2 linked regions of the Stegostoma tigrinum genome follow. The protein of the gene in region 1 binds, or shares a complex with, the protein of each later gene. Links are inferred from orthologs where the notes say so. Each region holds a gene or a part of one and is shown on either strand. Other genes may lie near its edges.

Region 1 (3,919 bases):
CTGCACCTCCCAGTCACGGACCATTTCACCTCCCCCTCCCAGGACGACGTGTCCATCCTGGGCCTCCTGCATTGCCACAACGACGCCACCCGAAAGCTGCACGAACAGCATCTCAGATATAATGGGAACTGCAGATGCTGGAGAATTCGACATAACAAAGTGTGGAGAGATAATGGGAACTGCAGATGCTGGAGATTCCAAGATAATAAAATGTGAGGCTGGATGAACACAGCAGGCCAAGCAGCATCTCAGGAGCACAAAAGCTGACGTTTCGGGCCTAGACCCTTCATCAGAGAGCTCTCTGATGAAGGGTCTAGGCCCGAAACGTCAGCTTTTGTGCTCCTGAGATGCTGCTTGGCCTGCTGTGTTCATCCAGCCTCACATTTTATTATCATATAACAAAGTGTGGAGCTGGATGAACACAGCAGGCCAAGCAGCATCTTAGGAGCACAAAAGCTGATGTTTTGTTTGCTTGGGAACCCTGCAACCCAAGGATATCAATGTAGACTTCACAAGCTTCAAAATCTCTCCTCCCCTGACCGCATCCCAAAACCAGCCCAGCTAGTCCCCGCCTCCCCAACCATTCCTCCCACCTCAAACCCCACCCCCCTCTCCTACCCACGAACCTCATGCCCCCTCCTTGACCTGTCCGTCCTCCCTGGACCGACCTGTCCCCTCTCTAACTCCCCACCTACATCAATCTTCACTGGCTCCATCCCCACCTCTTTGACCTTTCTATCTCCTCTCCACTTCTATCTGCCTTCCCCCCCTATTTATTTCAGAATCCCCTTCCCCGCCCCCATTTCTGAAGAAACGTCAGCTTTCCTGCTCCTCTGATGCGGCTTGGCCTGCTGTGTTCCTCCAGCTCTACACCGTATTGTCTCAGACTCTCCAGCATTGGCAGTTCATACTATCTCTGGCAATAATGAATTTAGCTCTTTGGATTTCCCTTCAGCAACTTTGCTGATATTCTTTTCTTCAAAGCTCATTCCATTTGACAATAATTTTGGTCATCAAATGGATATCTCAAACCAATTCAAAGACGATAGTTTTGAAGCGCTGCCACTCTTGTAAGAAATGTGGCAGTTTTTTTATACACAAACCTCCCACAAACATTAGTGTATACGCCAACGGGAAATCTGTTGTATATGTTGGTTGGGAAAGAAACATTGCTGAGGAGTGCTGGCAGGGGGACAGCTGTATGGCCGATTTCAGTTCACATATCAGCCTAAATGTTGGTAACACTGACCGTGTAAGATTTCCTGAGTGCCATGTAGATTGTACTCTGTAGGAGCTGTTGAAGACTTAATAAGCTGAACGGCCTCCATGTGCTGTACTTTTCCATGAATTACAGTGCTTTGTATCAAGTGCAAGTTGCTTTAGTTTTTATGTGGGTGATGCTGTCATTTTTTTCTCCTATCTTTTTTAATTGATGAGTCTGTCTTACGTTGCTCAGCGTTCTTTACAAACTATCGACTAAGTGAACAACACGTGCAAAAAGGCAAAATAAGGAACAAGTCTAACACTAGCTTCATGCTTCTTATTCCGCACATCAGGCGAGGCATGGGGATGTGGGTGGGGCTAACCCCGAAGCCTGCGGGAGATGGGCGAAGTTAGCCCGGGGCGTGCTATCTGCGAACGATGGGAGGGGTTGACCTGTGGGGCAGCGGATTGGAGACCGGAAGGACTGTAGACGCTGAAAGCCACAGCCAATAGATGTGGAGCTGGAAAAAGCACAGCGGGTAAGTCAGCATCAGAGCAACAGGAAAGTCCATGTTTCGGGCTGAAACCCTTCACAGAACTGGGAATGAGGTAAGAAGGGGGAGGGATCCTGGTGTAAATAGAGGGAGGTGGAGCTGGAGAAGAGATTACATGATGAAGGGTCTAGGCCCGAAACGTCAGCTTTTGTGCTCCTGAGATGCTGCTTGGCCTGCTGTGTTCATCCAGCCTCACATTTTATCATCTTGGAGCTGGAGAAGGGTAGGTTGGATGGTGGCGCAATAGTGTTAACCCGGAGCGCGCGGACGGTGGGCGGGGTTGAAGTGGAAAGCGTGTGGTGCGAAATGAGAGGGGCAGACGGGGGCGGAGTTAATAGGGGGAGCGTGCGGCTACGCTGGGTGGAGTTTGTGTCGGGGCCGGGGCCGCGCAGTTTGGGGGCGCCGTGCTTACCTGGGAGCGTGCGTGTGTAAGGGCGACGTTAATCCGGGCGCGCGCCAACGGTGGGTGGTTAACCCAAGTGAGCGGGAGCGCGCATCATGGATTTGCGTGTTACTGAGGAGACGCTGTGGAGTGGCATCTGAGCTGAAACACAGGGACTTCACGGCAGTTAATTATAACCATCGAGGGAGAGAAATTAAGCCACCAGCAGGTGAGAAGGTTTGGTAAATGTCACTGAATTCCTCAGCTTGAACAGAGAGGACGGCTGAGTTGAACTCTTTGAATAATTTAGTTTTCCATGAGATCAGCTAGGCCCAAACCTCGTCCTGTATTTTTACACTGGAGTGGCTCATGTACCTCGCTGCTTCACATCATGTTTTATTATTATGAGGGTTGTTTTTAATCGCTTTCTCGTAACTAAAAAGAGCATCATTCCATTCTGAGCTGACGCTTGCCAGTAAATTATTGTAGTGCCAATTAGCAATTACTTTTTCCATTGTAAATTTTGAATGTAATATCCTCCATGGAAATCCGGTTATTTTGTTTAAACGTATTTACAACAAGGCTTAAAATATTAGTTTTTCAAAACTTATTTATTTACTTTTGAAATCATGTCTTGATTTTTTTAACTCCTAAAAATAGGATCTACATTAATCTCACTTCACTAATTACTCTACTGTGAAATGATTGCATTTTGAATGGAAGGCTTGAAATTTCATTTTTAATTTGATGAAAATTAATCTTAAGTGATGCTTTGGCTATTCTGTCAAACACACCTTTCTTCCCATGAGATGGTTAGTCGTTATTCAAAATGATGTTAAGCATTTGAAAGATATAAATGTTCCCTATGCAGTTGCAGTCATAAGCACACCTTTTCATTATCCTTAACAATTTCTAACTTTCTTCCTTCCCGCACCCTGTATTGACAAATTTCTTTTGTGCCTTGCTTTAATGGAATGTTGGGTGTTTCTTCGCTGCCCCCACCATATATTTGTTTTAACACAAATATAGTTCTGATGGTATTGTTTGATTTATGAGTAGCCAATTTCTTTGTGCCCCATTGCGATTGCAAATTGGTGACTGTTATTTTTCTTTGCCTCCCTTTTTTTGTGTTTGGTAGGATGATCAGGTTTCTGCACAGATTAGGTGGTAAAAATGTGACCAGCATTTTGTTTTATGTGTGAAGGTTCCTCCAAATGTTGCAAGTTTTAAAATGCTACATTTTTGCCAAATGAAGATGCTAGTCTGTTGTCAAACAATTGAAACTACAGCTGAGAAACAAATACTTCATTGATACTTTGACTTCTTATTGCTTTTATTCTTTCAAATTCTAATTCAAAATACATGTATTTGATACATAATCGTGAACTTTTCCTTTGCTCTATGAGAATGACATATTAAAGTCCCACAAAAATCAATTACTGTCCTCATCATGAGCCATTTAGATTTATGTAAACTGATGGTCCACTGTCCTGTACAGCAATAAGTATTGATGCTTTTGATTGTTTTGTACTAACACCCATCACCAGGACCATGTTTATCATCTTGTTACTTTATCCAACATTTATAAATGCAGCCAATATCTCATTATTAAATAGTAGTTTTGTTGTCAAGACAATGAGACCCTCCTTCTACTCCCCTTCCTCAGCCTTCCTTTCCCCTCCTGAGTGTGTTATTGCCTCCTGAATTGATGTTATTTTACTGAGAGCACCAGTTTTAATCTCTTGGCAAAGTCTCAACTGTAACAATGGTAAACTATTCC
Region 2 (3,919 bases), on another chromosome or scaffold:
TCACGTGCACCTGTAATCCGGCAATTCGCAGGCTGAGACTATCAGATTGCTTGAGTTCTGGGCTGCTGCGGACAATGCCGATCAAACTGCGTAGAACCATTGTTCAGTTAGAAAATCCAATTCACACCTCAACTGTAAAAGAACAATGAACTAGACTTAAAACAGTACCTTAATCCAGACATCATGGAGTCCGAACAAAAGTTGCTGGAAACGCTCAGCAGGTCTGGCAGCGTCTGTGAAGAGAAAATCAGAGTTAACGTTTCAGGTCCAGTGACTCAAGGCTTCAGCCTCTGAATTGCCGGATTACAGGTGTATATGAGGCTATCGAATTGCTTGAGGGGAGGAGTTCTGGGCTGCTGTGGACTATGCCGATCAGGTGTCCTCAGTAATTGTATCAGAGATAATGGGAACTGTAAATGCTGGAGAATCCGAGATAACAAAGCGTGGAGCTGGATGAACACAGCAGGCCAAGCAGCTTCTCAGGAGCACAAAAGCTGACGTTTCGGGCCTAGAAGGGTCTAGGCCCGAAACGTCAGCTTTTGTGCTCCTGAGATGCTGCTTGGCCTGCTGTGTTCAGCCAGCTTCAGACTTTGTTATATCGGATTCTCCATCATCGGCAGTTCCCAATATCTCTCATCGTAGTCTGAATGGGTCTGCACCAGCACGTGACCACCATAGGTTGTGGGGCGCGCGCACGCACGCAGACGGCCCTAATGCGTCATAACAGAGGAGCGAGCATTTGTTTTGTTCGTGTGCGCGCGTGGCCGTGGTTCGGCTGATCCGAAGCGGCGGTGGAAAGGGGGAGAGGCTTGGGCCTATCCGATAGCATCGGAGTATCCAGCGGTTTGTATTCACGGTGGTGGGGCGCGGGAGTGGGCGGTCGACCTGAACGGAATCTGGGTAAGAGTGTGTTCTGAAGCAATTTAGGAAGGTAGCAGGTGGCATGTCGGCCTAGGGCAGCAGATATTGGATCTGGTTTATGAGGTAGGGTGAGGTACTCTGGGCCACGGCGTATGAGGGGGCAAAGGCTTGGGCTAAGCCAGTTTTTTTTTGTTTGTAATGTAGGGAGCTCCTTTCTGGTCGATTGATGTTCAGTATTAATTAAAAGCCGCGAGTGCGCCAATGAGGAGTGAAGTGAACTCTCCGATGTGCCTATAACAGTGAGGTGATCCAGGTAGAGGACCTACTGAATGACTCTGGAGTCATTGTATCCTGTGCACACAAACGTTCCGCAGCACTCAGCCATCGAGGTAATTGCTATTCGAGTTTGTATTGTTTCATGAATCCACAGTGATACGAGGAAATATACTACACGTTGCGTCCGTGATTACTGAGACTCTCTCGAAACCAGGCTTGACACCGCATACCGGAAGAATGAGGTCGTGAAAGCAAATATTGATTTTGCAGTTGATGATTTCATGGAGAGGTTAGGTGACGAGGCTTCCCCTTTACTATCGTGAAGCAAGCCTTCATCATAATGGGATTCAAACTTAAGGCAGCACCCCTTCAATACGGTGCTGGAGTTTACTGAAGGGGATGTATCCTTGACATGTCGAATGGCCCCTGCTTTATTCAGTTTGATATGAAAGACCCCCTTGGTGATATCTGAAGAGGACTGAATAATTTTCTTTGGACCCTGACAAATATTTCCTTTCTACCAATACCAAAGAATAAGGAAAACTATTTCTAATTTCTTAGCTACAAGATAAAGACTGTAAAATTAATTCATTTTGTGCGAGCTGTTTTGGGATGCTGGTAAGACTGTAAATGATTGATTGTGTTATTAACCTAAAGGATTTAAAAGAAAACATGTCTATGCAGCCATTTGCTGTGGTGATATAAAGTTATGTGGCTAGTTGTGTGGCCTACTTTGGTGCCCTAGTTATTCAGAATGTAATTAAATTCAGAGGAGTGTAAACTATCCTCATTAAATATACTGTATTATTTCAAGCAATAAAATAATTATTAAATATCAGATTTGCAAAGTCAGGGGTCTAGACTTAGTTAAATGCATGCAGCTTAGAAATGTCAATAAATCTAAAATGACTGAGTTAAAAACAAAATGCTGGAAATCATGAGCATGCCAGGCAGCATCTGTGGAGAGAGCAACAATGTTAATGGGGTGTAATGAATTTTGTGGAGTGTGTAAAAATGTGAAACATGTTTTCTGGGATGAGTGAATTAGGAGAAAGCCACCTTTCTGCTCTTGATAAATCAAGTTGTGGTCATGATGGAGGACCTTGCTGTCCAGGAAGCTCTTTTATAGCTCATTTGTATCTTTTAAATTACCAGCAGATGAGGGCTTTGACAACTGTAAAGATTCCCCCATTGCATGATCTTGCAGGTTCCCTATGCACACCACTGGCACTTTGTTTGAATTGTAATCATGTGGGAACTAGCAAAAAGCAGGAGCATGAAAGTGAGAATAACTTACCACAGTTCAGATTTTGCCCTGCACTTCAAGTCAATGACCTTTTTATCAGGCTCCTCATTCTGAGTTTTGATGACGAGCCATCAACTTGAAATGTTAACATTGTACATCTGCAAAACATGAACAACTGCTTCGATATAAAACTGCCCAATTGCTGCTTTTTTGGGGTGTGAGGTGAAATTAATATTTAGAATTAGTACTTCTAACTGCTATACTGTATTTACTGTCTTTTTGTACATTTCGTCAAAGATTCGGGAAGAAATCAGCACTCATCTAAGTGGAGTATAGTTAAGGAAAGAATGAACCTACTTCTAAAAGATGACATTGAGAAATAAATTCAACAGTTTAAAAGTATTTTTCAACTGCAACAATGTCTTATATACGTAATGAGAATGTTCATATATGATTTCATTATTTTAGAACTGATGGCATACAAACCTAAAATTTTACTTGGCAAGTTAGTAGTCAGTGTTTTCTGCGCAAAGTTTATTAAGGCCATAATTTGAAACAATAAATAAACATTTCATAATTTATAAATCATTTGTTTCAGGCTGGTAGAACTTGTTTGTGGAATAATGCAGTTAGATCTTTTAGGTTAACCTGGCAAAGTGAATTGGATGTTCATTTTACATCGCTGTTGAAATAAGGCATCTTTGCAGAAAAGACTTGGTATAAAATACATGGGTTGACAAAATTATCAGCCAGTGGAGAAACTAGAGATCTTTTCCCAAGTACAGAGCAGATTAAATGTGAATGTATTGATATTGCATTAGTGTAGCAGCTTCAAAACTTCATTTTCATGTATTGGTGGTAACATTAACCAAATCTACCAACAGTAGTGGAAAAATAATTCAGCTATTAAGTTCCAGTTTCACGATCAATCTCAATTTTCTAAAGATGAAGTAGGTTTTTTTTAGGAAATATGAAATTCTTTAAATCAGGAATATGTGCCTGGTCATTGCCACTTTATTCCCTTCTGGTTTCTTGTGTTATGTTACATTTACTCCTCAAGAAGATCCACTTGGCATAGAAAAAGGTGAAGTTTTCATGTTGTTTGTGGATATGAAATTGGGATAAATTGAATATTTGATAAGACGGTGATTGTTATCAAGCCTTTCAGGTATTTAGCCTTTGCCTTTAAGTTATTTTGATCATTACTTGATTCTTTGCAATCCATTTGCTCATTTAAGGGATTGCTTGACCACATGGAATCGATATTTTGGAAGATGTTTGAGCAATAAAAACCTTAACAGGAACAATATCAAAACAGTATTTTCTTCAGGCACCTTTTTGAAATTAAAACACATGTATCTTTACAGAGGGCTAAAAATGTTGTTGGAATACACCACGACTTGTTTTTGAATTATTCTCATAGATTGGTTAATCTGTTATTAGATTAGAGATTATTGGTTTAGAACTACAATTTAGAATCTAATCCTGCCAGGTGTATGTTGTTTATCATTGTACAGCAGCTTCATTTGTCAGTGT

Evidence for each region.
Region 2: the proteins of scap (region 1) and insig2 are in contact, whole or in part, in a cryo-EM structure (PDB 7ETW), measured with the Homo sapiens proteins. The link is inferred for Stegostoma tigrinum from reciprocal best matches to the Homo sapiens genes SCAP and INSIG2. Residues at the interface, in NP_036367.2 of Homo sapiens: Pro200, Ser206, Val282, Ala283, Glu284, Ile286, Pro287, Thr290, Ile294, Ala297, Tyr298, Phe301, Lys305, Tyr351, Val354, Val355, Glu359, Thr409, Leu410, Val411, Ser638, Tyr639; in NP_001308258.1 of Homo sapiens: Phe41, Val45, Leu48, Leu49, Ile51, Val55, Leu57, Phe58, Pro59, Val62, Ser65, Ile66, Glu104, Trp105, Ser106, Met109, Arg110, Val112, Ala113, Val114, Val116, Gly117, His120, Gln132.

Annotation. Positions count from the first base shown.
Region 1 is NC_081358.1:98,290,717-98,294,635, forward strand, and holds the start of scap (sterol regulatory element-binding protein cleavage-activating protein), read left to right. Parts: upstream 1-1,649; 5' UTR 1,650-1,742; intron 1,743-1,754; exon of another isoform or gene 1,755-1,980; intron 1,981-2,147; exon of another isoform or gene 2,148-2,368; intron 2,369-3,919. UniProt on the Homo sapiens protein: Escort protein required for cholesterol as well as lipid homeostasis.
Region 2 is NC_081360.1:68,366,447-68,370,365, reverse strand, and holds the start of insig2 (insulin-induced gene 2 protein), read left to right. Parts: upstream 1-730; 5' UTR 731-843; intron 844-1,065; 5' UTR 1,066-1,250; intron 1,251-1,274; exon of another isoform or gene 1,275-1,755; intron 1,756-3,919. UniProt on the Homo sapiens protein: Oxysterol-binding protein that mediates feedback control of cholesterol synthesis by controlling both endoplasmic reticulum to Golgi transport of SCAP and degradation of HMGCR.